Mus musculus: one gene and its partners. The protein of the gene in region 6 binds, or shares a complex with, the protein of the main gene of each other region. Links are inferred from orthologs where the notes say so. Each region holds a gene or a part of one and is shown on either strand. Other genes may lie near its edges.

Evidence for each region.
Region 1: Cwc15 (region 6) and Gpkow share a complex: the UniProt entries of both Homo sapiens proteins name them as parts of the minor spliceosome. The link is inferred for Mus musculus from reciprocal best matches to the Homo sapiens genes CWC15 and GPKOW.
Region 2: Cwc15 (region 6) and Bcas2 share a complex: the UniProt entries of both Homo sapiens proteins name them as parts of the PRP19-CDC5L splicing complex. The link is inferred for Mus musculus from reciprocal best matches to the Homo sapiens genes CWC15 and BCAS2.
Region 3: Cwc15 (region 6) and Bud13 share a complex: the UniProt entries of both Homo sapiens proteins name them as parts of the minor spliceosome. The link is inferred for Mus musculus from reciprocal best matches to the Homo sapiens genes CWC15 and BUD13.
Region 4: Cwc15 (region 6) and Ctnnbl1 share a complex: the UniProt entries of both Homo sapiens proteins name them as parts of the PRP19-CDC5L splicing complex. The link is inferred for Mus musculus from reciprocal best matches to the Homo sapiens genes CWC15 and CTNNBL1.
Region 5: Cwc15 (region 6) and Rbmx2 share a complex: the UniProt entries of both Homo sapiens proteins name them as parts of the minor spliceosome. The link is inferred for Mus musculus from reciprocal best matches to the Homo sapiens genes CWC15 and RBMX2.
Region 7: Cwc15 (region 6) and Cwc27 share a complex: the UniProt entries of both Homo sapiens proteins name them as parts of the minor spliceosome. The link is inferred for Mus musculus from reciprocal best matches to the Homo sapiens genes CWC15 and CWC27.

What each region holds. Positions count from the first base shown.
Region 1 is NC_000086.7:7,707,026-7,710,950, forward strand, and holds the end of Gpkow (G-patch domain and KOW motifs-containing protein), read left to right. Parts: intron 1-910; coding exon 911-996; intron 997-1,085; coding exon 1,086-1,220; 3' UTR 1,221-3,236; downstream 3,237-3,925. UniProt on the Homo sapiens protein: RNA-binding protein involved in pre-mRNA splicing. As a component of the minor spliceosome, involved in the splicing of U12-type introns in pre-mRNAs.
Region 2 is NC_000069.6:103,170,274-103,174,691, reverse strand, and holds the start of Bcas2 (pre-mRNA-splicing factor SPF27), read right to left. Parts: upstream 3,038-4,418; 5' UTR 2,920-3,037; coding exon 2,827-2,919; intron 2,745-2,826; coding exon 2,652-2,744; intron 1,459-2,651; exon of another isoform or gene 1,418-1,458; coding exon 1,347-1,417; intron 353-1,346; coding exon 191-352; intron 1-190. UniProt on the Homo sapiens protein: Required for pre-mRNA splicing as component of the activated spliceosome. Component of the PRP19-CDC5L complex that forms an integral part of the spliceosome and is required for activating pre-mRNA splicing.
Region 3 is NC_000075.6:46,281,549-46,286,065, forward strand, and holds the start of Bud13 (BUD13 homolog), read left to right. Parts: upstream 1-1,463; 5' UTR 1,464-1,482; coding exon 1,483-1,625; intron 1,626-4,517. UniProt on the Homo sapiens protein: Involved in pre-mRNA splicing as component of the activated spliceosome. As a component of the minor spliceosome, involved in the splicing of U12-type introns in pre-mRNAs.
Region 4 is NC_000068.7:157,817,153-157,820,949, forward strand, and holds part of Ctnnbl1 (beta-catenin-like protein 1), read left to right. Parts: intron 1-602; coding exon 603-675; intron 676-898; coding exon 899-957; intron 958-2,301; coding exon 2,302-2,450; intron 2,451-3,797. UniProt on the Homo sapiens protein: Component of the PRP19-CDC5L complex that forms an integral part of the spliceosome and is required for activating pre-mRNA splicing.
Region 5 is NC_000086.7:48,707,946-48,711,350, forward strand, and holds the end of Rbmx2 (RNA-binding motif protein, X-linked 2), read left to right. Parts: intron 1-944; coding exon 945-1,128; intron 1,129-1,630; coding exon 1,631-2,124; 3' UTR 2,125-2,774; downstream 2,775-3,405. UniProt on the Homo sapiens protein: Involved in pre-mRNA splicing as component of the activated spliceosome. As a component of the minor spliceosome, involved in the splicing of U12-type introns in pre-mRNAs.
Region 6 is NC_000075.6:14,499,318-14,503,550, forward strand, and holds the start of Cwc15 (spliceosome-associated protein CWC15 homolog), read left to right. Parts: upstream 1-1,301; 5' UTR 1,302-1,464; intron 1,465-2,598; 5' UTR 2,599-2,606; coding exon 2,607-2,737; intron 2,738-3,496; coding exon 3,497-3,609; intron 3,610-4,233. UniProt on the Homo sapiens protein: Involved in pre-mRNA splicing as component of the spliceosome. Component of the PRP19-CDC5L complex that forms an integral part of the spliceosome and is required for activating pre-mRNA splicing.
Region 7 is NC_000079.6:104,806,770-104,810,566, reverse strand, and holds part of Cwc27 (spliceosome-associated protein CWC27 homolog), read left to right. Parts: intron 1-2,734; coding exon 2,735-2,847; intron 2,848-3,786; coding exon 3,787-3,797. UniProt on the Homo sapiens protein: As part of the spliceosome, plays a role in pre-mRNA splicing. Probable inactive PPIase with no peptidyl-prolyl cis-trans isomerase activity. As a component of the minor spliceosome, involved in the splicing of U12-type introns in pre-mRNAs.

The DNA of each region.
Region 1 (3,925 bases), on a different chromosome or scaffold from region 6:
ATACTCATGCATATAAAAAAATCTAAGCCGGGCGTGGTGGCGCACGCCTTTAATCCCAGCACTCTGGAGGCAGAGGGATTTCTGAGTTCAAGGCCAGCCTGGTCTACAAAGTGAGTTCCAGGACAGCCAGGGCTACACAGAGAAACCCTGTCTCAAAAACCAAAAAAAAAAAAATCTAAAAAAACTTTTTAGAAGCTAGAAAGGGGGGCTGATGAGATGGCTCAGCAGTTAAGAGCGCCCACTGCTCTTCCAATGGTCCTGAGTTCAAATCCCAGCAACCACATGGTGGCTCACAACCATCTGTAATGAAATCTGATGCCCTCTTCTGGGGTGTCTGAAGCCGGTAGTAGTGGCGCACACCGGTAGGATTTGCTGATGGGGTGTCTGAAGACAGCTACAGTGTAGTCATATAAACAAATCTTTAAAAAGAAAAGAAATGGAGAAAGAAAGGGGGATGGAAAAGTACAGAAAAGAAAAGAAAAAAAAAGAATCTCGGGCCAAGATCTGGGAAGTTAGGCAGGATTCAGGTTGTTTGCAAGACCCAGCATCCTCTTTCAGAGCAGATACTTCCTTAAAAGAGATAGCCTAAACCCTATGTATTTTCCAAGTTAGAGTAGCAGGAAATGACAGTTTGTCCCTATCAAAACTATTGCCTTTACAGGAAGGAGTGTACTGAGCTTGCACTATAGGGTAGGCTGAAAACATGCCCAGTACATAGTTTCTGTAGGAAAATGCTCCTGTATTGTGGTAACTTCTGTAAACTACTCCTTGGTTTTCTCACCTGTGAAATGGGTAGAGTGTGACTCCATCTATCAGCAGGATATAAGAGTAGCTCTAATAAATATTAGAAAGGCCCTACCAACCAGGCTGGTTCTTGCTGTGGACCTCATTCCCTCTCCCTCATCTGTAGATGTGAGAGAAGATATGCTGGAGACCCTGATTCCCAAGGGAGAAGGCCACCGTGTGATGGTGGTGCTCGGACCACATGCTGGAAAGGTAAGTCCCATGTCTGGAAATAGGAGTCTGAAGATCAGATCACTGTGGATGTTGGCTGACCTTGCTTACTCTGCCCCATCCTTCCTCAGGTGGGACTTCTTAGGAGTCGGGACAGAGCGCAGAGTCATGCTTTGGTCCAACTTAGGAGAGAGAACCAGGTGGTGGAGCTCCACTATAACGCCATCTGCCAGTACATGGGCCCCGGTGACTCAGATGAAGACTGACACATGGACCACTGCCCGTCGCTCAGATGCCAGGGAGAAGACAGATGTTCTGTCCTCCTTTGAGATGCAAGGATGGGGATGTGACTAGATAGAGCAGAACTGTTTACCAAACTTTAGAGTGTGATAAAAACCATTTTAAATAGTGGAAAGATGAAATCAAAACCAGTATGTAAACTGTAAATTTGGGTGGAAGCTGAGATAATCAAAGTGGAAACACTTCATTTCTTAGCCTCATTTCCCTGCTGAGGGTTCAGGACAAGTTAAATTCCCCATTCAGTACATAGTTTACCCTTGGAACATGAAATCTATGAAGTCTGTCCCCAGACAAACACAATAGAATCTGCAATGTTGCATCTCAGAACAACTTCCTGAGTTTGGATCTTGAATGGTCTTCAAAGGCTCTTTTTTTTTTAAGATTTATTGTATTTTGTTGTTGTTTTATGTGTGTAAGAGAGAACGAGTATGTGATTGTGAATACAAATGCTTCCAGAGAGAGAGAAAATATGTGAATGCTCAGAGACCATTAATGTTGAGTTCCCCAGGAGTTGAAGTTACAGACAATTGTAAGCTGCCCTGCATGGGAGCCCTGCATGGGAGCAGACTTGGATCCTTTGGAAGTACAGTAAGCACTCTTAAGCACTGAGCCACCTCTCCAGCTCCTGTGCCCATATGGTAAAGGACTCTTGCTCGGGATTATGCTAGTAGCACATACGTTTGACCTCTAGGAATGTCTCTGGGCTGATAATGCACTGAAGAGAAAGGGGAACTTCTGCCCATGAACAGCACGGGTTGGCTCCAGTTTCCAAAGGACTAGTCACTTCTAGTCCCCGAACATGGCTTAGGTTAAAAGGTATTTCTGACTCGTGCACTTTCTTTGCTTGCCATGGGTGATTAGATTCTTTTTAAAAAAAGGTTATTGTTGAGAATCCTGAACCTTTTTCCTGCTTGATGGTTGGAGAAGAAAAGTCAGAGCCTTAGACACAATTGTTTCTAGATAATCCCTAATATATATAGTATTTAAGTTAGGCCTGTGCCACAGGTTAAAATACCCAACTTGTCAGCCCGCCACACACACTGAAAAGAATCAAAACATCCCAGAACACAATGAGACTGGTAAATGTGGCTAGAACTGGGCTGAACTCTCTGGCCAAAATAAACAGACAAAAGGACATGAGTCACACAGAGTGTGGTGGCCCATATCTGTAATCTAGCACTTGAGAGGCTGAGGCAGGAAAATTTCCACGAGTTCCAAGACAGTCTGAGGAGCTTCACTGAAAAACCTAGCAGGAAATGTGCTAGGTGAAGTAGCACACCCTTTGAGCTTCGCAGGCAGGAGAGAGAAGTAGGCAGATCTCCATGAGTGCGAAGCCAGCCTGGTCTACAAAACAGGCCCCAGGCCAGCCAGAACTCCTAATAAGAACCTATCTCAAATAGGAAAGGATACTGTGGTTTTCTCCCTTCCTATTGTCCCTTTTATGTCTTCTCTTATCTAATTGCTATATCTAAGACTTTGATACTGTAGGGGACAATGGACATCTCATTCCTGATTTCCGAGGAAATGCTCAGTGTGTCTATTTAATATAATGTTGGCTATAGATTTATTGTATATAGCCATTATTATTTTGACATATTTCCATGTATTTCTACAGTCTCACAGCTTTTATCACTGTCAAATGGATTTTCAGCACTTACTTTAATAATTCATGTTTTTCTGTCCTTGAGTTTGTTTATATGCTGTATTCCATTTGCTGTATATGTATGTTGAAACACCTTTGCCTTTTGGGAATGAAGCCTACTTGGTCATAATGTGTAATCTTCTCAATGTGTTCCTAGATTCAGTTTCTAAGCATTTTGTTAGGATATTTTAACATAACATTTTTATTGACTCTCTGAGAATTTCACATCATACATCCTCGTCACACTTCCCAGTCCTTCCATGTCTGTCCCCCACACTACTTTGTGACCTCCCTACCAAAACAAGTTAAAATAAAAATAAATAAAAATTAGAAAATAAAACTAAGTCGCATTTGTGTTATCTCTGTAGTCACTGGAGCATAGTCAGACTCTCTGTGGCCTGCCTCCTAAGGAACTGAGTCCTTCCTCTGTAGGCTAGTACTTTTTGGAGAGTTGGGATAGGGGTTGTCACAGAAGCCTTTCGTGGTCTTCTGTCTTAGCTGTACGTCTGCAGTCATCAATATCACAGCAAAAGTAGCCTCCCTGCTCTTCACAGCAGAAGTTTCTGATGACAGCACAGACCTTGAACATGGCCTCAAGCTGCAGTAGGACCACAGACCCAGACGAGGCCCATCCAGTAACAAGGACACCAACATGGCCTCAGGTCACAGCAAAGACCATGGTCTTCAGTGGTAACATGGGTCACAGACATCAATACAGACCCTGGCTGTAGTAGGACCGCAGACATGGCTCTTATCGGCAGTACATGCCAGATGTCACCATGGCCTCAGATGGCAGTGCAGGCCGCTCAAATTAGTATAGTCCTAAGTCTGCAGCACACAGCTCAGATATCTGCATGGCCCTCAGTAGTAAAATAGGCCACAGACATCATCACAGTTCCCTGTGGCTAGCTTCTGCCATGCCTGCCTAGGGATTTTTGCATCTATGTTCAAAGAAATTGGTCTATAATAGTTTTCTGTTCTTTATTTTCTTTTCCTTTTTTTTTTTTTTTTTTTTTTTTTGTTTTTTGA
Region 2 (4,418 bases), on a different chromosome or scaffold from region 6:
TATTATTTTGGGTACAGGGTTTGCTATATGAGCTTAGGATGACTAAACTCAAAATATAAGCCAGGCAGGCCCTCCTCCACACCTTAGCTTCCCACACCAACTGCTGGAATTAAAAACATACCACACTTTAAAAGACACTAGCAACTCTGGGTGGGACAGGATAAGAAAGAGAAGGCCCAGCGCCTCTTACTCATTGTACACCTTCCAGGCATTGCATCCATGCTGTGACATCAGCTCCAGATTCTCGATCCGGACCGCCTGGTGCTCCAACTGAGCCATAGAATTGTTTACACATTCTTGCCATGCAGTAATGTCATTTTTTTGACCTGAGGAAGGGGCTGGAAGTTCATATCTGAAATTACATAACAAACAAACCAATGTATCTTTCAAAGCCTTCATCACTCCTTCCAACAGAATTCTCATGGACATATGCCCACTACATAAAGACAAAGACACAAATTATCAACTCCCGACCACACATGCACAGAGACCAAGGATATAATGTAGATCAGGCAGTACAAAGAAACCTGTTAGTTTGGAAACTGATTTACAGATAAAACTAACAAAAAAAACCCTATTTCCATAAATGTGAACTAGTTAAATGAGCTGTGACAGTCACCAAGACTCTCATGTCTCTTGTTCCTATTTGTCTATCATGACCTTTCTTAGGTAATGTCTAATTATCAGCTTTAAAAAAAAAAAAAAAAAGACTTTTAAAAGATTAATTATTTCATGTATGTGAGTACACTGTCGCAGTCTTTCCACACACCAGAAGAGGGCATCGGATCTGCATTACAGATGGTTGTGAGCCACCATGTGGCTGCTGGGATTTGAACTCAGGACCTCTGCAAGAGCAGTCAGTGCTCTTAACCGATGAGCCACCTCAGCAGCCCTTTAGGCAACTTTTTAAAAAGCTGATAAGCAGTGCTGGAGAGATGGCTTAGCAGTTAAGAGCAGTGACTGCTTTTCCAGAGGTCCTGAGTTCAATTCCCAGTAGCCACATGGTGGCTTACAACCATCCATAAAGAGATCTGACACCTTCTTCTGGTGTGTCTGAAGACAGCTACAGTGTACTTATGTATAACAATAAATAAATCTTTTTTTTTGTTTTTTTTTGTTTTTTTTTTCCAAGACAGGGTTTCTCTGTGTAGCCCTGGCTGTCCTGGAACTCACTTTGTAGACCTTTGCTGGCCTCGAACTCAGAAATCTGCCTGCCTCTGCCTCGTGCGCCACTACGACCGGCTGGTACTCTCTTTTTATTCTCACTTCCTACCCACAGCAGCAAACACAAACACTCTTCCAACCACTGGCAAAGCAGCTGTTACCATAGCTCAACCTCATCTTACCGTTTCATGCTGAGTAATTCAATCGGTTGTCGAGCAGCGAGTCTTTCAAATTCATTTCTCATTATGTCTGTCTGATGCACAAACACCACAAAGAATTAGTAACAGAATCATGCTGAAAATAATGAATGCAGTTTACTGAGATTTTATACTTTGTACTACACATTATAGCGAATCTTTTCCCTTCTCAATCACTACTCAAAAAAAAAAAAAAAAAAAAAAGGATGCTAATATTTGAACCCAGGGCCACTGACACATCCCCCAGTTGAGGTTAATTCTATCTAGAATCTGAAGAAATAGGCATATTCTTTAATTCCATATTCTGCCCAGGCATGAAAGGAGGTGGACATAGAAGAGTCCACCTCTCAAGGATTAACCCTAAACCAGCAGTTTTCAATGCCCTGTAGTCAGCCAGCTGTGGAACTCTGAAAACAGCTTTAATCCCAGCCCCACGTCACGTTGTAATTCACAACACACAACAGTCTTGAATCATTTCAGGAAGTCTCCGCTGCTGCATGACGAACTGACACAGTGTAAACTGTTTGGGTACAGTGTAAATGGTGAAGTCACATGATGTAACATGGACCAGAGCTTAGATCTGGGACTTGAGTTTTCAATTAATTTCTGGGTTAGTACTTTTTACTCTTGCCAAATTTCTTGCAGCTCCCACATCAGTTATGAAACCCCCACTGAGGAGTCACAACCCAGTTTAAAAACCTGGCATCTAGATCCGAAGTATCACACATCCCTGCGCATGGAGCAGTCTCCTTTCAGCCTGAAAGTGCTTCTAACAACATCTAAGTGGTGTTTTTTGGTTGCACTTGTAGAATAACCACTTAAAAACAGCATGCAGTTAGACATGCTTGTTCAGGCATTCATACACCTGTTAACTATCTGAGACTTGGTACAAAAGAATCTCCCTCCAGGGGTGGCAAAGAGTACAGGTACTTAAGATTATAAATATTAAAATCTCGTGAGTGATACCTGTTCTTGAGTGGACCTTAGAGAATAAAGGGCCCTTTTGTGAAATGTACCATGACTCTTCTACACACACACACACACACACACGGAGGTGCACACTATTAAACAAATCTGCAGAAACTAATGGAGCATTTCGCAGGTTCTTGTAGTACGAAGCCCGTGACATGCGCATCTGGCGGTTTCAAACCGACTCACACCTACATGGCACTCAGTACGAGCTGCAGGCACCAGCTAACTTGGAAGGTGGAGTTCACTTTACACAGCTAAAGCCCTCACTCCCGTATCAAAGTCCGCAAGCCTCCTGGCTTACTTCAAAGGCACACTTACTTCAAAGGCAGAATAATCCGGGGCCGTCAGGTAGCTCAGGTAGTTCTTGGTAGGTCGGTATCTGCGCGTCTCCTCCTCCACCAGGGCCGCCGCCTAAGAACGAGAACAGGCCAGGGTCGCGGCGGGAAAGGGCGGCGTGCCTTCGGCGGACCCGCCGCACATGACCCGCACTCACCGCTTCCCGCACGCCGGGTGCCTCATAGCCTTGGTCAAAATATGGTAGCGCATCTACCACCACCTCTCCGGCTACCAAGCCCGTGCCCGCCATCGCGCGGCACTAGGCTTCAAGAGCGCCTTCTGAGTCTGCGCAGCCTCGGTTCTAATTCCACTGCGCCTGCGCCTGGAATGACGTCACACACGCCGCTGCCTTTGGGGCTTCGATTCGGGCGCACGCGCAGTTGGTAATTATAGCCACTAGGCTCTAAGCCTAAGCATCACGTGCTGGCGTGCCGGGGTGCCTTTCTTTGTATGGGTGCCGTTTTTTTTTTTTTTTTTTTTGAAGGAGTGGGTAGGGCAGACTTCGGAAGAGGTGGTTGCTGGACTTGGCTGGAGGGGAGAAATATATTTTCCACATCCTTTAACCTTCCATTGTTTAGACTCACATAGTGCTGGGCTTCTAGCGCTCCCTTGCTTTATCCTCATTTCGCAGCCGGTCCCTTAAGAATGTTCTTTTATAGAAACTAGAAATGTGCGCCTATTTTCCAATTAAATTTTTAGATCCAACAACCTGAGGGGTGCGGCTCAATGGCAAAACCAGGTCAGTCCGCAGCACTGCAAACACCTCATCCCTTCCATGACTGTAATTATAACTATAAAATGCCTCATTTTAGAAGCTCTGCCTTGGAGTGGAGGCAACTCAGGGGAGAGCTAGAAGCCCAGAAAAAGGGAAACTCACAGGAATATGCTAGGGTGACCATAAGACTTGAAGCAACAGGGGATATAGGACCTGAAATGGCCACCTCCTGGAACCAGGCAAGACTTCCAATGGATTGATGGGGACACCAATCTACCCACAAAACCAAAATTTGTCCTGCTTACAAGATGTGTGGGGATAAAGATGGACTAGAAACTGAGGGGATGATCAAGGCCCAACTTGAGACTCATCCCATGAGAGCAAGCCCACCCCTGACACTATTAATGTTTTGCTACACTTCCAGACAGGAGAGGCTTCGCCCAACAGCTGCTGGAAACAGATGGAAAGATCCACAGCCAAACATTAGGCAGAGCTCTGGGAATCTTGTGGAAGAAGGGGAGGAAGGAATGAAGGAACCAGAAGGGTCAAGGACACCACAAAAAAAGCCATACAGAATCAACTAACCTGGTCCCGCAGGGGTTCACAGAGACTGATCCACCAACCAAAGAGGCTGCAATGGACAGTCCTGGATCCTTACACACATGTAACAGATATGCAGCTTCTGTGGGACCCCTAACAGCTGGAGCAGGGGCTGTCTCTGACTCTGCCTTTGGACCCCCTTCCCCTAACTGGGCAGCCTTGTCTAGCCTCAACAGAAGATAGGCCTAGTCTTACTGCAACTTGCTATGCCAAGGCTGATATCCACGGGAGGCCTCCCCTTCTCTGAGGAGAAAGGGAGAAGATGGGGAAAGGAGAGAAGAGAGGGAGTAGGAGGATAGGTGGGAGGGAAGGCTGTGATCAGATAAAATAATGAGAAAATCTTGCTATTTTTTGTCTTTAGGGCCTATACAAAACCCAATCATTTTTGCCTTTAGGATTTGTGGTAATAAAATATTACTCCACGTTGCCTCTCA
Region 3 (4,517 bases), about 32 Mb from region 6:
GGGCCGAGCAGGCACAGGTGAAGACGCCACATTAAAGTGATGGCCTTTAAACGACACCCGCCTCTGCGTTCATGTCCTTACTGATTACCATGTGCTAGACTAAGCTGGGTCACACTGAGTCACACTCAGCTCCGAGGAGACTGAGGACAGCTTGGGCCATGCAGTGAGAGTCCGTCTTCATGAAAAGAAATGAGGAAGGAAAAACCAGTTTAGTTTCCTAAGCAAATCTTTCTTGAGGTGGCTGCTGTAGAGGCAGCATTTGATTCACTCCAATAGGCCATCCTGTCTGCTCTGAGCCAGGTACACCTGTGTGGAGTCTAGCTGTTCTCATGCAGCTTAAAGCAGTCTGGAAAAGCAGGGTGGCACACACCTTTAATCCCAGCAGAGGCAGGTGGTTCTATGAGTTTGAAGCCGATTTGGTCTACAGAGGAAGTTCCAGGACAGCCTGGGCTACACAGAAAAACCCTGATTCAAGACAAAACGAATTCAAACTGGATAACCAGCACCATCCTTGTTTGGCCTCTGCTAGCAAAAATTAGAGCCAGGCAGTATGAAGATGTGTGGGTTCCTGTACTTACCCGAAAGTTCTTATTATCTATAAAGGAGGCTAATAAAACTGAAGGGTAGGTCATGGTGTCCAGCCACTTGAGAGGCTGAGGAGGAAGGCTAACAAATTCAGGGGCAGCTTAGGCAATTTAGATCTTCAACATTCAAAAGAGTGGGGATGTAGTTCTATAGAACTCCTGCATACCATGTGCAAAAGGCCTTGGGTTTAATCCTCGGTGCTGGATGAAAGAAAAAAAAATTGTGAGGGTTAAGTGAGAAGTCATAAAACACTTAACCCTTTATAGAAGAAACTCCAGAATCTTCCTGGTTTCTTTGCCACACTGACCACGAATCCATTTCACTGGGAAGAGTTTATATCATTTTTTAGAAAGACATATCAAAGGTGAGAAGGTCAGTACAGGTTTGATAAAAACCTATCAAACTTTTATAGTCACAAGTTTGACTTCCCCTAAATGGTACCCGGAAGCCTCTTCCAGCAGACTTCCCACCAAAAGGTATTTATAGCAATAAAAGTGATTGAAATTGAAACGTTTGGTACAGCGTCCATTATTAAAACGCTGCTCAAGAATGTGCCCCTAGTGGTACAGCTATGGTAAGTCCCACCATTCATACAGGTGTTCTTCCTTACTCTGGCGCTGATGCTGCCAGGGTAGGATCATGTTACATCGGCCTGTGGCTTCTCAGCTGAGACAGCGTGGGCTGCAGGCTGTTGCACCGATTCGTCGTCTCAGGAAAAGCACAGCCAGCCCGAGATGCACGCACTCTCCCCTGGAGCCTCTTAAGGCTCAAGTCTTTAAGTCCAGCAGTTCAAAAAGTCCCCGTCCTAAAGCTTCCGCTTCTGGCTCCACCCCTACCGTTTCGCGTTGAAGAATTTTGTCCCCCACGCCGAGCTGTTGCCCCGCCCTCGCCGCTGCCATGGCGGCAGCTCCGCCACTCACCAAAGCTGAGTATCTGAAGCGTTACTTGTCTGGGACAGATGCTGGCTTGGAAGGAGGTCCCGAGGCCGGTCGCAAGCGGCGCAAAAAACGGCCGAAGCCTGGAGGCGCTGGCGGCAAGGGGTGAGTGGACTGGTGAGGTGTCGCGCTGCCCGGTGGCGCCCTCGGCCGCAGCTCTTCCTCGTCCTGGCCCGCGCGGTGCTGCCGACCCCGGCCCGAGCTCAGGCCCCGCTCCACTGCCCCGGGGCGGGATTGTAGCTGCCACTGGCAGCTCAGACCTCATCCTCTGAGCAGCGCCTTCCTTGTGTTAAAGGCAGCTAGAACTTAACTCACTTTCTCCCCGCGTTTGTAGCTTACGTCGTTCCATGTACAGATTGAAAGTCGTGTCCAAGAATAGCAAAGCTGATTCAAACCTTTTTCTTTCTCACTTTATTTCTCTCTTTCTCCCTTCCCTTCTCTTTCTTTCCTTCTTCTTTTTCTCTTCCCTCTTCTTTCTTTCTTTCTTTCTTTCTTTCTTTCTTTCTAGATCCAAAAATCTCTTTCTGAGGGTTCCAAAGTGCCAGGAACTGATCTGGAATCAAAGACCCATATCCTATTACTCACATCTACTACTAACAGTAACAACTAAAATGGGAACAGTTCACATCCTGTGCCTGGCCTCTTTCTAAAATAGTTGACCATATAGCTTTCAGAACATTGTAATGGAGCAGACATTTATATTAAACACTATACTTCCAGATTGCAAAGAGATGTGCTGAGACAGAGTTCAGATGAAATGTCCATTAGTAACTTGGCCACTGGAATCTGGAAAGGTTGGGTTAGGATATCCAACATCAACCTACAGAACAAAAGGAAATGTCTGTATTTGTAGGCTTTAGAGCAGCAGCCCTAAGTTTAGCAGCTTACTGAAGGTGCTATTTTGGATAGAAAGTTGAAACTCTGGGGGCTAATTCCATTCTCACACTCCACCCCCAGGTCTACTAAATGCTTATCAGCTTAAAGAGAGTACTAGATAGGATACAAAGTGTGGCTCACCCTCTCTGTGGGGCAGTATCATGGTCTAACAGTATTATTACCGTATGGTCCATTGAACTGGGTCGAATTAGTCCCTCATTTCCACACTTCTCTTCATTAGAGCTTGAGCATGACCTCATTTATAGATGGAATCTTTGTGGTGTTACCAGTTAAGATGAGCCTATATTCAGTTAAGGTGGTGTTGAATTCAGTGTGGCTGATGTCCCTGGAAGAAGGGGCAATGGCATGCAGGGGGAAAGTTTAAGCTTTGGAGCAATACTGATTAGAATTAGAATCCTAGCTGTGCTACTTATAGCCTGAGTGGTCCAGGGCAAGAGATGTTCATCTCAGCCGGGCGTGGTGGCACACGCCTTTAATCCCAGCACTCGGGAGGCAGAGGCAGGCGGATTTCTGAGTTTGAGGCCAGCCTGGTCTACAAAGTGAGTTCCAGGACAGCCAGGGCTACACAGAGAAACCCTGTCTCAAAAAACCAAAAAAAAAAAAAAAAAAAAGAGAGAGATGTTCATCTCTCTGAGCCTGAAGTCCCAGCCCCTTACTACTTGTCTGAAATGGTTGTTGTGATTAAAGCTGTGTCATGTGTTCCTGGCATTTCAAATAACCTCCTCCTTGCAGCACAGTTCATCTGTGTGGCACACATTTATTTATTGGCTTGCCACCACCTTACAGTAATTGGGGCACTGGTTCCTGAAGCTCAAAATGATACACTATTTTCATGTCAACTATTCACATCCTCTTTAAATCATCCTTAGATTAATTACTTAAAAGCCCACTACAGCTTAGGTAGTATGCCAGTAGTTACGTTATATAGGCCATTGTAACTAAAGAAAGTCTATCTGTTTAATACATTGGCCATTCCTTTTCCCCTGGTTGAGTTTGCAGTTGTGAAGTCCATGGGTGTGGAGGGCTGAATACCTCCTGTGACAGTTGTGTTGAAGAAGCCTTGATGAACAAAAAATGTATTAGTCAGCAGGATATGGTGGTAAAAGTCTATAATCCCAGCACAGGGGAGGCTGGGCTGGAGGATAGAGAGCTGGAAGCTAGCTATAGGGAACAACAACAAGAAGAAGGGAATAAATAAGAGAATGCCTTAGCCCTTGGCTGTTGGAACTTAGAATTTAATGAGAATATGGGCTGATAAATACAAATGAAAGCATTCTAAGAGTGTGTAGAGGTATTTCTACTCTGGGAGTAGGAGACAGTGAGCAAGAAAGATAGGTCCAAGGAAGTTATTAAAAACCAGGGTGTAGTGGCTATTCCTGGTTGTCAACTTGACAATATTTGGAATGAACTACAATCCGGAATTGGAAGGCTCACCAGTGACCCTTATCTTGAGGCTTGGAGATCCTTATCTGGATCTTGGTTTGGAGATCTTGAGCCATAGTGGCTATGGATTCCAGAAGATTGAATCTCCCAGTTTAAGGAAAACACCTTTAATCTGGGCTACACCTTTCATCTGGGATTAAAGGTGTGGTGGAACACACCTTTAATCTGGGCTACACCTTCTGCTGGAGACAATATAAGGACATTGGAAGAAGGGAGTCTAGCTCTAGCTCTTGCTCCTTCGCCTGCTTGCTGCGTGAGACTGAGTAGCTGCTAGATCCTTGGACTTCCATTCATAGCTGCGACTGAACCATTGTTGGGAATTGGGCTGCCGACTGTAAATCATCAATAAATTCCTTTACTATCTAGAGACTATCCATAAGTTCTGTGACTCTAGAGAACCCTGACTAATACACAGGGCCCAAAGAAAATAAGATTCGTGATTAACAGTGAGAAGAGTAGGTCTGGCAGAAGGAAGGGGGTGCCTTTGTAAAAACTGATATTACCAAAGGTGGACAGTGATGGAGTGAATTGACAGCACACAAACATTGAGCCATACCTTTAAGTTTAAAAGCCAGTAGGGGGCAGTGACATGGCTCTGCACTTGACAAGCCTGACAACCTGAATTCCATCCCCTGAACCCACATAGCGGAGGGAGAG
Region 4 (3,797 bases), on a different chromosome or scaffold from region 6:
TGTCCCCTCTGCGGCTGCGAGCTGCAGAGCACACAGCAAGGGAAGAATTGTGGGTAGTAATTTAGGTATTAAAATATTAACACATTTTTGCATATTTAATGTGGTTTCCTTTTTAAATAGTAGGCAGATTATGGCCTATAAGCAGATAGGTTTATGGGTTCAAATTAAATTTTAAACATTAAAAAAATTCCAAAAGGAGCTACTTCGTTATAAATATTTTTAGCTAATCTCAACAAGAACTTGCTTTCTTTTCAACTTCTCTGATCATGTATCAGCTAATTTACAGCCTCATTTTCTGGTTGTAACTTGTAAATTGGAGTTTCATATGTTTTAATCTTATAAGCTCAAAACTTTCTCTTACTTGCCTTGGGGATACACAGTCTCTAGACTTAAAATATGGGCACAAGGTATGCTCTGTGGAGGAGGGTACATTCACACACTGGGTAGGGCTACTCTGTCCCTTTGTTATTTAGCATTGAGAACATGTATCTGGTCCCCCTAACCTGCCTTTCCTTTAACCTCCTCGTATCTGGTGGGTAAACAGTTTGCCCTGGAAAGGGAGCAAGATTCCTTAATGGCTCTCTCGTTTCTGTTTCCCACAGGCCAAGATGCCCTTCGATGCCAACAAGCTGTACTGTAGTGAAGTGCTGGCCATCCTCCTCCAGGACAATGACGGTGAGTGCCCTCACAGAGACAGGCCAGGCTGGGAGCCACACTCAGTCTCAGATCCGGTGAACTTGCCTTTGGCATCGCCTGGGCTCTCTGCTTGCTCTCCGTGCAGCTTTTGTACTCTGTCAAGCTGTATTGATTTTGTTAGCTGACGGATCAGTGGTAGACGGCTGTAAAATCTGACAGTTGGCTTCTTTTTTTTTTTCTCCCTTTATTTTCCTTCTTTTAGAAAACAGGGAATTGCTGGGAGAGCTGGATGGCATTGACGTGCTTCTTCAGCAGTTATCCGTGAGTACCTGTTCCTGTGGGCCTGCTCTCAGTGGGAGGTAGAAGTAGAAATATGGGAAGGGGCAGCCACATGGGGACCAAGGGCAGGTTGGAGGTCACACTGGAGCACAGGGCTTACCTTTTTTTCTTACTCACTGGCCCTTTCTGATCGAGTGTCATGGTGAAACTGGCACAGCCCTTCCCAACTGCTGATCCAAAAGTAGGGAGAAGTAGGGAGCTCTCCTCTGTCCCCAGCCAGGATGAGCCAGTTGTGTTCCTTTCTAGCACCCAGCACGGTTCAGCTCCTTCCCCTTTGGTCCTTCCCTAGAAGAGTCTGTCTGCTCACTGAGGTTCCAGGGGAGCGCAAGGAGAGCAGTTTCCAGCTCCATGGCACGAGGGTCGTGGTGGTCGGGACAGTAGGGATGGTTGTGGCACTGCAGGCGGGAGTGGGAAGGTGGAACGTGCCTTTTGCTGGTTGAAAGCAATGTAAATCCAGTTGAAATGTTACCTGCTGGCAGTCTGGAAGTGCCATCAGGGTTCCTCCTCAAAAACCTTATCTGTGTTACTCCAAAACAGCACTGAAAATAGATCATTTGGATACAGGCTGAAGAGTGTTGAGTGTCTGAGACGGCAGTTTGCATACAGCTTTCCTGCCGTGCCAGCCGCTGAGTGACTTGGCCTCCACCCTAAAAATAGAGCTTTGTGGTGGGAAGCTGTTTGCGGTTCCCATGAAGTGCTGTGCAGTCACTGATTGCAGCCCCTATGGGGCCACCTGCCCAGCTGGCTCAGGGGCTCTCCCAACCCGTGCTCAGCGCTGACATGCACAGCTGCCCAGATGCATGCCTGGGCCTCGGAGCCCCTGCTATTGAGTGAGGGGAATGCAGCAGCCGCGCTGTGAAGAAGCACCTCTTCACCTAAGATAGGATCGGCTACTCTGGGTTGTGGGTACCGTAGAAAGGGGGTGAAGTGGGGCTGGACGGAGCAGGGACAAGGCTGTAGGGCTTTCTGCCAGAGTTGGTTTTGGAGCTGAGCTGTGGTTTCAGACGTGTTCCCTCTCAGTTTCACTGTGTGTGTCCAGTATGGCCTTGTCTCTTTCTGATTTTCACAGAGGCCAAGGCCTGAGGTGTGCTGTTTTGTTTGGCTGACTTGCTGCCTTGACGCTGTCAGTCAATCTCGGCCCAGTGCTTGGCTCAGTGTTTTTATGTGAACTTGTATATCTTTATTTAGTGCCCACACCTAGAAAGCTCAGTTTCTCTAAGCTGGAAACTGGCGAGAGCTTCATTAGTAGAGTTCACTTTCCTTGGTGGGCTTTGGAAACTGTAGGGTGCGCATTTTTTAATGGCTCCGTTCTACTCTCCTTGGCAGGTATTTAAAAGACACAACCCCAGCACCGCTGAGGAGCAGGAAATGATGGAGAACCTGTTCGATGCGCTCTGTTCCTGCTTAATGCTCAGCTCCAATCGAGAGCGCTTCCTGAAGGGCGAGGGGCTGCAGCTCATGAACCTCATGCTCAGGTTTGCCCCAGTCCTCACTGTGCCTGTCTGTCTGCCCGGCACTGCTAGCCTGACTTTAGGATGCGTAGCTGTGGTCCTTCAGTCCCTTGAGTTTCCCATTCATCCAGACAGTGTTCATTTAGGGATGTGTCTGAGCTTTCCTGAAGGGTGGGCTGGCACATAAAGCTGTGCCTCGTTTGTGTGCCGGGTGTCAGTTGGTGACGCAGCCACTGCCCTGAGGATCATGTCCTTGTTTCTTTTATTGTGTTGGTTTTGGAGAAAGCTAAGCATTACCTTTTGGGCTTGTTCGTCTCAAAATCTGTATGCTCCATAGATCTCTCTGTCTATATTCCTGCCGTTGACAGCAAAATATTCATATTTATTCATTCAGTAATGAATTCTGTGTGTGCCGTGTGCCTAAGCACAGGGAATATGAAATATGAAAGATGCTTCTACAACTGTGGGCTTATACTTCCTTTAATGTATCTTTTTTGTTCTGCTCTACTCTCTAAAGACAACACTGCTTCAGCTTCTCAGTTAGTCCAAAGAATCTTAAAGTTGGAAATAAAGTGGAGAAGTGGCTTGTTTGGGTGTTTTATTGAGAAATGTGGCTGGGAAGGAAAAGAGAGTTCCTGAGGAGGTGACCAGAATGGAGTACCACTAAGGGACAGCATTTGAAATTGAGAGGCTCTGGGTGCTGCTTGCAAACACATTAGGAATTTTCTAATCATGGAATTCGTGGAGTTGAGCCGGGGTCAAACATCGTAAAACCTCTAGTCACATGCAGTGACAACTGAACAAAGATGTCTCTGAAAGTGCCTTACAAATTGGACGTATACTTATTAAGCATAATTTAGACTGTGGGTGTTCATTCTGTTTTCTTTTTTTTTTTTTTTTTTTTTTTTTTTTTTTTTTTTTTAAAGATTTATTTATTTATTATATGTAAGTACACTATGTAGTTGTCTTCAGACACTCCAGAAGAGGGAGTCAGATCTCGTGATCGGATGGTTGTGAGCCACCATGTGGTTGCTGGGATTTGAACTCCTGACCTTCGGAAGAGCAGTCGGGTGCTCTTACCCACTGAGCCATCTCACCAGCCCCCTCATTCTGTTTTCTATTAGGATATTTTTAGTTACTGTGTTTGTTAAGTGTCTTGCCAACAAGGCCGAGTCCTCCCAGAAGCTAAAATGCCCCAGTCTGTCACCCAAGAGTAGCCCACCTTTGGGCAGATAGAGTCTTCTTGGTTTTATTGTCAGTACTACTATTATTATATCATCATTTATTATTATTTTGGTGGGAGTTACTTGTTTGTTTGATTTAACATTTAGTCCTGCCACATTCTACCGTTTCATATTGTTTCCTTTTTAA
Region 5 (3,405 bases), on a different chromosome or scaffold from region 6:
GTCTCTGGGATTAACCACCACTGCCAGGTTCTTCCTCTTCTTCTTCCTCTTCTTTCTTTCTTTCTTTCTTTCTTTCTTTCTTTCTTTCTTTCTTTCTTTCTTTCTTTCTTCCTTCCTTCCTTCCTTCCTTCCTTCCTTCCTCTCTCTCTCTCTCTCTCTCTCTCTCTCTCTCTCTCTCTCTTTCTTTCTTTCTTTCTTTTGACAAGATCTCTTATTTCTCTGGAACTTATCAAGTAGGGTAGGTCTGTCTGTCTTCTCTCTCTCTCTCTCTCCTTCTCTCCTCCCCTCCTCCCTCTCCCTCCCTCTCCCTCTTTCTTTCTTTCTTTCTTTCTTTCTTTCTTTCTTTCTTTCTTTCTTTCTTTCTTTCTTTCTTCCTTCCTTCCTTCCTTCCTTCCTTCCTTCCTTTCTTCCTTTCTTCCTTTATCTCCCACTCTCTGGAAATTATCAAGTAGGCTAGTATTCTTATCTAGCCTCACAATGCTAGAATTACAAGTGTATGCCATCACACTAATATTATGTGGGTTCTTCGTATTAACCTCAGGTTCTTATTCTTATAAGGCAAGTTTTACCAACTGAACACAGTTCCTTATAGACAATCAGTTGTGCTTTAAATTGTAAATTCTCACAGTTTTTCATGATGCTGTGCTTTAGGGCAATACTTCTGAGTGTTTTTTTTAAACTTCGTGATACACACAGAATATGAAGAGATTTGCATGACACCTGTAGTATATCAAGGGAGGAGGGTGGGCTCTGTGCATAATTGGTCTAGAGGGCTCACTTGCCCCCAGGCCCCATTTAGCTGCCCAGAGTGCTGTGCATTAATGTATGCCTTCTTTAATCATTTCTTTATACAAGGCAATGGGTGTGCCTCAAACCTTGCTTCCTTAGTTGTTTAAATAGTCTGATGCGGGAGCTCTTTGCTGAAACATTTCCCCTTTGCTTAGATTAAAGGAAGAACTATCCGTGTGGACCATGTGTCAAACTACCGGGCTCCTCAGGAATCAGAAGATGTGGATGATGTGACTAGAGAGCTCCAAGAGAAGGGCTGTGGGGTTAAAACACCCCCATCAAGTCCTCCTGAAGTCTCTGAAGATGAAGATGCCAAGCTCACAAAAAAGCACAAAAAAGGTAGCATATTAAAACTCAGGAGAAGAGTGGGTAGCCTTAGTGTCTTTGCCAAGCATGCACAGATAGTCAACAATCCACTCCTCATTGCAAAAGGGGAAGGTGTGAGAATGCTTACTGTGGTCACGAAAGCAGAGGTATCTAAGGGAGGAAGGCTAGTCGTGCGGGCAGAATTAATGTGCTCTGAAACCCTTGCGGATCTCAAAGTGATATTGTTTTTGGAGACAGCCCTTCTGTGTGGGGTTGTTTTGTACAACTTGACCCATCAGGAGTAACAGGTGTCCTATTTGATTCTTAGAGACATTTGTCAGGAGGCATAACCTGTGACTGCTTCCTGCTGCTGCCTGGGATGTGTATAGTACATGTGCATTCTCCATCTGCTAGCTAGCATGGGGACGTTTTGGAATGTCTCAGTTTTACATGATCTACAGAGATAAGAAAGGCACATTTTAAAGAGATTTTTTTTGTGTGTGTTTTCTTTTTCTTCTTGATTGCCCCCTTCCAGACAAAAAAGAGAAAAAGAAAAGGAAGAAAGAGAAGACGGAAGGGCAGGCCCAGGCAGAGCAGCCGTCCTGCTCCAGAAGCGCGACAGTGAAGGAGAAGAAGGATGAGCGCGCTTCCAGGAAGCACAGTAGCAAGACTTCCGAGAGAGCACAGAAGTCAGAACACAGAGAGAGCAAGAAGAGTCACTCGGGCTCCCCTGATGGCAGGAGTTCCTACCATGCTAGGGCAGAGGACCCTGAGTGCAAGGCAAGGAAAGAGAAACCCAAGCATGAGCACAAGTCCGCCAGCAGGAGGGAGGCCGAGGAGAAGAGCAGAGAGAGGGAGAGAGGGAGGAGCTCGGGGACTCATTCCGGCAGGCACAGGGGGCATTCTGATGGGCGGAGCCATAGAAGTAGAAGTAGGAGTAGGAGTCCAGATAAGTCCCATAGGCACAAAAAGTACAGGCACTCTCGGGAGCGGGACTCCTACCATGGCAGTGACCGGAGACATCACTGAAGCCTGATTCAGCTGATTTTGGTTGCATAATGTCAGTTTCTCTTGGTTGCTGTTATTTCTGTATATAAAGATTCAAGATTGAATTCTTTCAATCCCTTACCTGACAGAGTTGGTGAAAAGATCAATAGCTAGATATCTACATTAAAAACAAACAAACATGATCCGTTGTATCTGGGAAAATATTTAGTATTGACCAGAGTATGTGCCTAAAATTTGGCTTGTAAATTTGACCCTTAAACCCACAAACCTCTGATTTAAGATGAGATTGCCAGGGAAGTCAAAACACAAGGCAGTGCTGGAGTGCTAGTCTCCACGTTAGCTATTTAGAGCCCAGCACTGTAGGGCCTACCAGACGGCAGGTACACCTGTGAAGAGTTGCAGCTCATGAGATTTGATGAGCTTAATAAGGATGTGATAGGATTCCTGAGGCCAGCCAGTTCCTTCCCCTTTGCATTTCCTCTTGCCATGCTAGGGATGGAACCCAGGTCTTTGCACATGCCAAGTGCTCTGCTACTCAGCTAGAGCCCAGTTCCCTTTATTTGGTTTTTAGTTTTTGATATGGTTACAGACATGTCTGTGTATTTTTTCTTTGTAACTTATTTATTTGTATTGAGATGAAATTCATATAAAATAAAGTTAACCATTTAAACAGTTCGGGGCATTTGGTCCACTCAGTATTGGATTACTAAATACGATTTTCTTGTATCCGAACATTGTTTATACATTCTCTAGTCGTAGTAGAGACAATCCCTGAATGAGCACAAACAGGCTTTTGTTTCTGTGGATTCAGCTCTTTGATACTTTTCTCATTTCTGTGAAAAAAGCCCTATCACTTCTCATGCCCACTCAAATTCATAACCTTTTATTCTTTAATTACTTACTGTTACTTATAAATATTGAATAATTAGATAAATGGAACCTGATGGAGTCTGTTTAGTGTACATTTAGGTTTTAGGGTTGACCACTTGTTTAGATAAACATTTAGGGAACTCTTCTTGGGGCAGACTGATTTTCCCTCTCATTAGTCTTTAATTGCCCATAGTTCTTCACCTAGGGCTGGGGCCTTTGAGATTTTCCCTATCCACCCTGGCAAGTGAACGATGTAATTCTTGAGCTCTCATGTGAGCAGCCACATTGCTAATAGACTCATGTCCCTTAGAATCTTTCCACCCCTTCCTCTGGGATGTGCCCAGAGCTTTAGGTGGAGGGATGTGTTGTAGGTGTAGTAATTGGGGCTGGACACCCTATTGTCAGTTCTCTGCATTTTGACTAGTTACTACT
Region 6 (4,233 bases):
TGTATCTTGAGTGTGGTGTGCCTGTGACTAAAGGCAGGCAGGAGGCAGACTGTGTAAGTAAAAGCAAGAGGCTGTTTTATCCTAAGTGTCAAAACCACTACCTGGTAATCTGAAAAAATCACTCTGTTTGTGCAAAACTAGGAAAGTCCCTATGAAAGCAATTACAAATCAAGAGGAAATGACAGTGGCCTGAAGGAGTGTGGTGACAAGCAAAGGAACTTCAGGGTAATTTTCACAATACTGGACAAGAGTGGCAGGTGAACAGGATGTGACGAGGGAAGGAAGAGGGTCTCCATCTTTGGGTTTGAGTCACTAATGTGAAAGCGGTGTCCTTTGTGTGAGGCTCAGGGCAAAAATATGAAGCTTTCACCTTCTACTTGGGGAGCGGGCACATTCGGGAGGGAGTGGGTTCTTTTCTAATTCTCTTTCTTCATTTAAAAGTTCCAAAGGAAGGACAGAAAAGAACGGAAATGTTCAATTTTAGGAGACCCTTCCACTTGAGATAAACTGGAGAACAGAATCCTCTTTACCGAGCATCGGCCGTCCCCAAGATCTCAATGATGGGGCACAAGACAACGTTGGCGAAGCCATCTTAATCCCATCTCGTGCTCCTCCTGGCAGTTAGGCCCACTGCTCCATAAATTGTCACTATCGTAAACGCTCACAAGCATCTCCCCTCACGCTACAACGCTTAATGCATATAGCTATATATCTATATATTTATATATCTTAACAAGCAATGCGACTATAACCCTTGCCTTCAAGGCTAGTGGTTTCGCAGGAATGGTACCTTTGGAAAGCTCGTGGCTGCCCCCGTACTTATTTGCGCCTTCTTCATATCCACTTAAGTGACAACTCTAGTCCCTAGGCTGCGGGGTCTACTGAGGAGCAGGAGCCGTTGGGTCGGTCAGTTGGCAAGCTCTCCTCACATCTCTCTTGCGAGACGCGGACCGGCTCCTGGCGCCTCCGTCCTCGCAGAACCGCAGCGAACGAGTCTGGGAGGGGGTCGGGAAAGGAAAAGACGCAAGAGAGATTAAGTAATTGGTTCGCAAAGGAAAAAAGATGATATTTGGGGTCGACTATGAAGCACCGGTTTCAAACGCCCGCCCCCTAAGCTGCCTTGGCTCCGCCCCTAGGCAACGTCATTCCATCTTTTTCCCGTGTCTTTGCTGATTGGTCACTGCGTCAGCCTGTGAGAGACGGTTTAAAAAAAAAAAAAAAAAAAACACACACACAACTCCGGAATTGCTTCCGGGTGTGGAGTTCGCATCTTCTCCACAGCCATTGGAAGTGCGAAGGTTTTGCTTCCGGGTCTCAACCGAGCCCCTGGTGTAAAAACTGGAAGCTCTGCATTTTGTTTCCGGTCTTGGGCCTGGCGCCCCCGGCGCCGAGATTTCTGGGAGCTAAGGGTCGCATTGGTTCATGAGTGAGTTTCGGAAGGTGCTGCGTAGGACCCCCGCCAGAGTGAGCAGCCGGGCATGGTGGTTTGTGGTTCTTGTGTGGGTGGCACCGGGGAGCCGAGTCGCCGCCGCAGCCCGTGACGATCGTACAGGCCGCGGTGCAGGGATGGTGGTCCGGAGCTGAAGCCGAGCCCGGGGCGGTCACCGGTGCAGCGCCTCAGACACTGAGAAAAGCAAAGGAGGGTGGGATGGGGAGAAACTCCCACTTCACACACGATCTGTGTGAGCAGCTGCTTAAGCTAACGGAGATTTAGTAGCCCTGCAGTTAGGCTGCAATTCTTATTTGACAGCTAAAAATGGCAAAGGTTCTCTTGTAGCCTAGGCTAGCTTCGAACTCCCGATTCTTTTGCTTTCACCTCCCAAGCTCTGGAATCACAGGAGTACCCCCATCATACCCAGTTCAGGATGGGTTCTTGATACTTGGTTGGGTGGAGTTCCGATTTTCTGAGCATCGCGGAAGTTACAGCCTTGATAAATGTTGTGGTAACTGCTTTAGAAGAAAATTGAGTCAACAAGATTCTGGGGTAATGGTTGCCCATGTAAATGTCACTGGGGACTTTAAACAAATTTTAACATAATAAGTTTGACTGTGACTTTAAAAGAAATTTGTTTTTTATTGGGTTCTTTGCTGTAGTGTGAGGTTTCTGGTAGAACAGCAAATCTTGGCCGGACAGTTACATTGTGAGATCCTATAATTAAAAAAAAAAAAAAAAAAGAATAAATTTTTTTTAAAAAAGAATAAAATAAAATCTCAGAGAAGCTAGTGCTAGTGGGATAACATTTTTTTAAGTCATTTATTTTAAAAGCTACACTACACTGTTGTGCAAGATCTGACATCATGTATGGGAATCTCATAATACTATAGAAATGTCGGCATTCCACAAATGACAGAAACGAGCTAGAAGACTTGCCCAGGGCTACCCAGCCAGAACAGAAGCACTAACTCAGATCTTCATAGTAGTTATTTATACTGAATAAGAGTTGCCTAGTAAACACCCTGAGTTTCATAATTCGGATTTTTAGGAACTTGTGTTGAAGCAAACTAAGCAATTTTGGGGAGTTTGAGAAGGATTTAAGAATAGATATTTTTGAGTTATCTGTAAAATGAAAGTATAACTTAAATTCACTTTTGCCGAAGACTAAAAGATGACAACAGCAGCCAGGCCAACTTTTGAACCTGCAAGAGGTGGGAGAGGAAAAGGAGAAGGGGATTTGAGCCAGCTCTCCAAGCAGTATTCAAGCAGAGATCTTCCCTCTCATACAAAGATAAAGTACAGGTAAGAAGGCCTTCATTTGTCTTGTTCACAGAATGGGACCAAGCCTCTCTCTATATATATGTATGTATATATATGACTTATGGTCATGTCTAAATTATAGTATTTAGGTTACTGATCTCCAAAGAGAAGTATTTCAAAAAAGTTTACAATAAAATTACGCCCTACAGGTAAAGTTGCTAGACAGTCTTCCAGCATAAGTTCCTTTGAACCAGGAATTGCTATGTGTAGATGAAGCACTCATTAGTCATGATAATCACATCAGAGAAGACGGAGCTGTAGTGAATATGGAAGTGTTGCTCTAACAGCCCTTGAATTGGTGGACTGTTTTAAAAAGCCGAAGACATGGGTTAGAGAGATTTCTCAGCAGTTAAGAGCACTGCTCTTCCAGAGGTCCAGAGTTCAATTCCTAGCAACCAGATGGTGGCTCACAACCATCGGAGGGGTCTGATGTCCTCTTCTGGTGTGTCTAAAGAGAGCAATGGTGTAGTCATATACATAAAATAAATAAATCTTTTTTTTTAAAAGCCAAAGACATTCTGTTGTAGGCAATTGTGTGCTTTAGTTTGTTGTTCTAGTGATAAGGAACACTACGAGTGTATTAACCCTCAGATTGGGATATTGTCTTATCTTCTTCCTTTTTGTTGTTGACAGACAGTTACATTCTGGATTGTCTTAAATTGTTGAAGCTATATAGGTTCTTTTCCTTGACAAGTGAGGCCAACATTTTTGACGTGTTTTGTTTTGTTTTTCCTACTTAAGACAAACCACACAGGATGCCCCTGAAGAGGTTCGAAACCGTGACTTCAGGAGAGAACTGGAAGAGAGAGAGAGAGCTGCTGCAAGGGACAAAAACAGGGACCGCCCAACTCGAGGTACCCGTACTGTCCGTCATGTCTGTCTCAGTTGTGTGCAGAAACTGTGTGTATCCTGGTAATTGGAAATAAGTAGCATTTTTGTGAGCTGTATCTCTTTGATGAATGATTAGAGATGAGAATGAGGTTTGTTCCAGTCCCATGCATTGATACTATCATGCATTGATACTAGGCCTTCTGTCTGGGACACCGAATGTAATTGAAGAGTTTTGAGAGAAGCATCAGTTATCCTTTTTGTGTTTCTACTACATGTGAGCATTGGGTAGGTCTCCTAAGATGCTGTGATCTGCATTCTCACTAATTCATTTCGTGTAAACCAACAAATATTTATCAAAGACTTACTTGCCAGTCACAGGGTGGATCCCGGGTGTCACTATGCTTTGTGTGGATTCTTTTTGCCCAAAGGTTTCTAAAATGGTTTTAAAAATTTAGTACTTGGGCTGGAGAGATGACTCAGTGGTTAAGAGCACCACCTCTTCCAGAGGTTCTGAGTTCAATTCCCAGCAACCACATGGTGGCTCACAACCATCTGTAATGGGGTCTGGTACCCTCTTCCAGTGTGTTAAAAGAGAGTAATGATGGTGTATTCATTAAATAAATAAGTAAATAAATAAATAAAAACCA
Region 7 (3,797 bases), on a different chromosome or scaffold from region 6:
CTCTGTTATTTCTTTGCCTTCTGTCCATACACATGATATTGGAATCTTTAAGGACCTGGCTTCTAGCTTTCCACTCTTTTTCATTCCACTAATCATGTGCTTCCAGTCAGCCATTCCCTCTATTTCCTGAACATTCTATTTCCTTTTCCACAATCCTCATATTAGCTAGCTTGCTTGTTTGCTTCCTTCCTTCCTTCCTTCCTTCCTTCCTTCCTTCCTTCCTTCCTTCCTTCCTCCCTTCCTTCCTTCCTTCCTTCCCCCCTCTCTCTCTTTCTCTCTCTTTCTTTCTTCCTTCCTTCCTTCCTTTCTTTCTTTCTTTCTTTCTTTCTTTCTTTCTTTCTTTCTTTCTTCCTTTCTTTCCATGTTTTTCACTCTCTTTTTATGGAAGTAAAGCCAATTTTTATCACTTTGTTCAAAGTCTGCTTTCCATAAAGCTTACCACCTGGCCTGATTCATTATCACTCTGTGTCATAACATGATAATTTTTCTTTATAAGAAGCTTTGCAAAATTTTATATTCACTTAGTATTTTTTATTCTTGAATAATTGTTTATGCAGCTTTACATTTCATACAGTTTTCACAGTTTCTTGTTGGCGTATAGAATGTACTACATACGACTTTAAATGTCTCCAGTGGTGGCAAGTCATTGTCTTCCAGTTAGACCTGATTTTTAGAGACAGTGTTCTTTGTGGTGTCAGAAACAAAGTATTTAAGAATCCAGAGTGTCCTGTCATATGATATGGACAAAGCTCTCCAAATAGAAGAAATTAGATAAATCTATCATGACAGGGGAAAGTGTAAGGACATAATGATAAAAGAATCCAGTCCCTCAGATGAGACGAAGAAAACAGGTCTGCAAAGACCATTATTAGTAATTGCTGTGGCAGGCAGGAAGGAAATAAAATCAGACAGGTAGTTTAGTTAGAATAACTGTCAACAAAGCTAAGAAACACATGAGACAAAGAAAAGTCTGACTTCTGGTAATAAGTTTAAAGAAGCTCAAATTTTACAGGAAAGTGAAATCACAAAAACACTAGAAAGGATGAATGGTAAATTGCAATCCGTGGAGCAGGTGAATAAATAGACAGAAAGAATCTGGACAGAATACAGCAATGAAATAAGCATGAGGTTCAGTTGGGGGCTGACAAAGCTTACCTGCATCAAAACGAAAAAAAATATCCTCCCATTTTTATAAGTAGAAGAAATGAATGGAAATTTTACAGACATAGAGATAACCAGAGCAATATTTGTAATGATTAAACAGGTAAGAATTGAATGAAATTATTGCTAACTAACTGAAAACCTGAGAAGACCGGTGGAGAGATGGCTTGGCACTTCAGCTCTTACGTCTGCTGAAGACTTAATATTTAGGACTGGCTGCCCTGTCAGAGGTCTGGGGTCCAATTCCAAGCACCCGCATGGCGGTACACAGTCAGCAGCAGCTCTACTTCTGGAAGATCCTGTGCTGCCTCTGGCCTTCATGGTCACCAAGCATGAATGTGGTGTGCAGACATACATGCAGGCAAAACATGCATACACTTGTAAAAAGATAGGTATTTCTTAGGTGAGTCAAATAATGTAGATAACTCTATTTAATCTTTAGGAAGAATGATTTGAAGAAGTTACAATATTTCTGAGTCTTATAATGCACCTTTCAGTATAGCAATAGCAGCAACAATGTGTAGTTTTCAGAATAAAAGCAAATGATTGAAAGCATGGATGGGAGGGGCTGAAATGTAAATGAAGTAAATACCTAATAAAAAGTTGGAAAAAAAAAAGAAAGGTGGTCATATCCTTTGAAAAACCCAAATATCTGTAATTATAGATTTAATCTTGGACTTAAAATATAAAATTGTTACAAAGGAAGGAAAAGAAAGCAAAAGGCAACAGTTTCAGTTTTCTTAGGGGATGTCCTATGCTTCTGTCCTACTTAACTAGTGTTTTCCTTCTCAATGATTCTGGTCTCATACCAGGCATTCTAAGGGAGACCACTGATGCTGCATATTTGTGACTAGAAATTATATTTTTATATATAAATAATTTCTGAAAAATCACTTAGATATTTAATTAGAATAAAGTACGTTATTTCACTTATTGAACGTAAAGGAGACTGCACAGACAGTGCTAGAACTTCTATCTGCAGGTTTATATTTTTTGTACATTATTAAGTTAATTTTCTATCAGGAGAAATGGAAGAGGCAAAAATGAGCTATCTCCTACCTAGGCTTCTGAGCCCCAGCAGTGCTAGCCTTTGGGATTGGATATTTTTTGTTGCAGAAACAATCCTTTGGGCTTCAGGATGCTTAGCAGTATTCTTGCCATCTTGTACAAGATGCCAGTAGTATTTCCCAGTTTTCCCAGTTTTGATAGCCAAAAATATTTGAAAATGTTGATAAATGCCCCCAGGGTGCAGAATTGCTTCTTCTCTTTCCTCCAGTTGAAAGACATTGGTGTGTATTAAACTTCTTATTTTTAATTTAAAAACAGTAATTTATAATTGATAATTATGGAGATTAAAGACAAACAAACCAATCCCCCAAAACTAAACCACCATTGTCTCTGTAGAAACATATAGTGTTTGAAAATTGATTGTTTTCTAAGAAGTGGAGAGGAAAGGTTTTGGTTTAAAAGCCAATTTAGCATTCTGGAAATTAAATCTTGTGGCTCTGTTTGTATATTAACTGTGATAATTAAAGTGATACTAACTTTTAGAACTTGATATATTATTTTTCAGCCTACTATGACAACACCATTTTTCATAGAGTTGTACCTGGCTTTATAGTCCAAGGTGGAGATCCCACAGGCACTGGGACTGGTGGAGAATCTATCTATGGAGCCCCATTCAAGGTCAGATCAATTTACTTGCAACGCTTCTTCAAAAGTGATCGTGTCCCACAAGAATGTCTCATGTAATATACAAAGTCAGTGGAGTTAAAGTTTTTCAGAGATCAGAGCAAATACTACCTACCGAGCAGTCTTTCTGATTTATTTTATGGGAAGCCTTTGTGCTGAAGGCCTAGAAGGCAAAAGTCAAGGTATTTGTCTATCTGGCTCCTGGTGAGATGTACTGTATTCAGATCTTAAGGCTAATATATTAAAGAAAAATAGTCTCTGATGCTTAAAAGGCACTTATTGTGCTAGATGGGTGTGTCATAGATGATTCCAATGTTCAGTCTGAGGGGAAGTTCTGAGTAGCTCTCAGAATACAGAAAGCAACTGAGAAACAGTGGAGCCCTGCACTGTTACACTCTGCTAAGACAGACTCATGCCGTCTCTGAGAAGAATCAACTTAGAATGGTTTAGGACTTTTAAAAACACAGTGAAATCACATTAATGCACTTATAGAAGATTCTCAGAATTGAAAAACAAGAAGAAACCCATCACTTCATAACATGTGCAACAATAGCTGGTGGCTTTACAGTGGTTCAAAGGTGGGTTTCTTGGGAACACTGGACTGTTTTAAAGGGTTGGAGGACTCTGAGGTGAGTAGGAAAATGAGACTTAGACTCTGACTCCCTTTGAGCAGCATCCTTCCTCTGTAAGTAGACTTCCAGAAGATAGTTACGGGGCTGAATATATTTAGAACATACAAGCTGCAGAATTCAGGTTTAAGAGCATTGAACAGATAGTAAATTTGGATTTGATTGTACTTCAAAATCAGTTAAATAAAGCTTCAGTATTTTTGATTAGAAATTGTCTGAGTCTTGCTGGTCTGCTGCGTAGCTGATTGAATATGAAGGGTGTTATGACTTGAGAACAGTCACTAAATCTCTTTCATTCTTGCAGGATGAATTTCA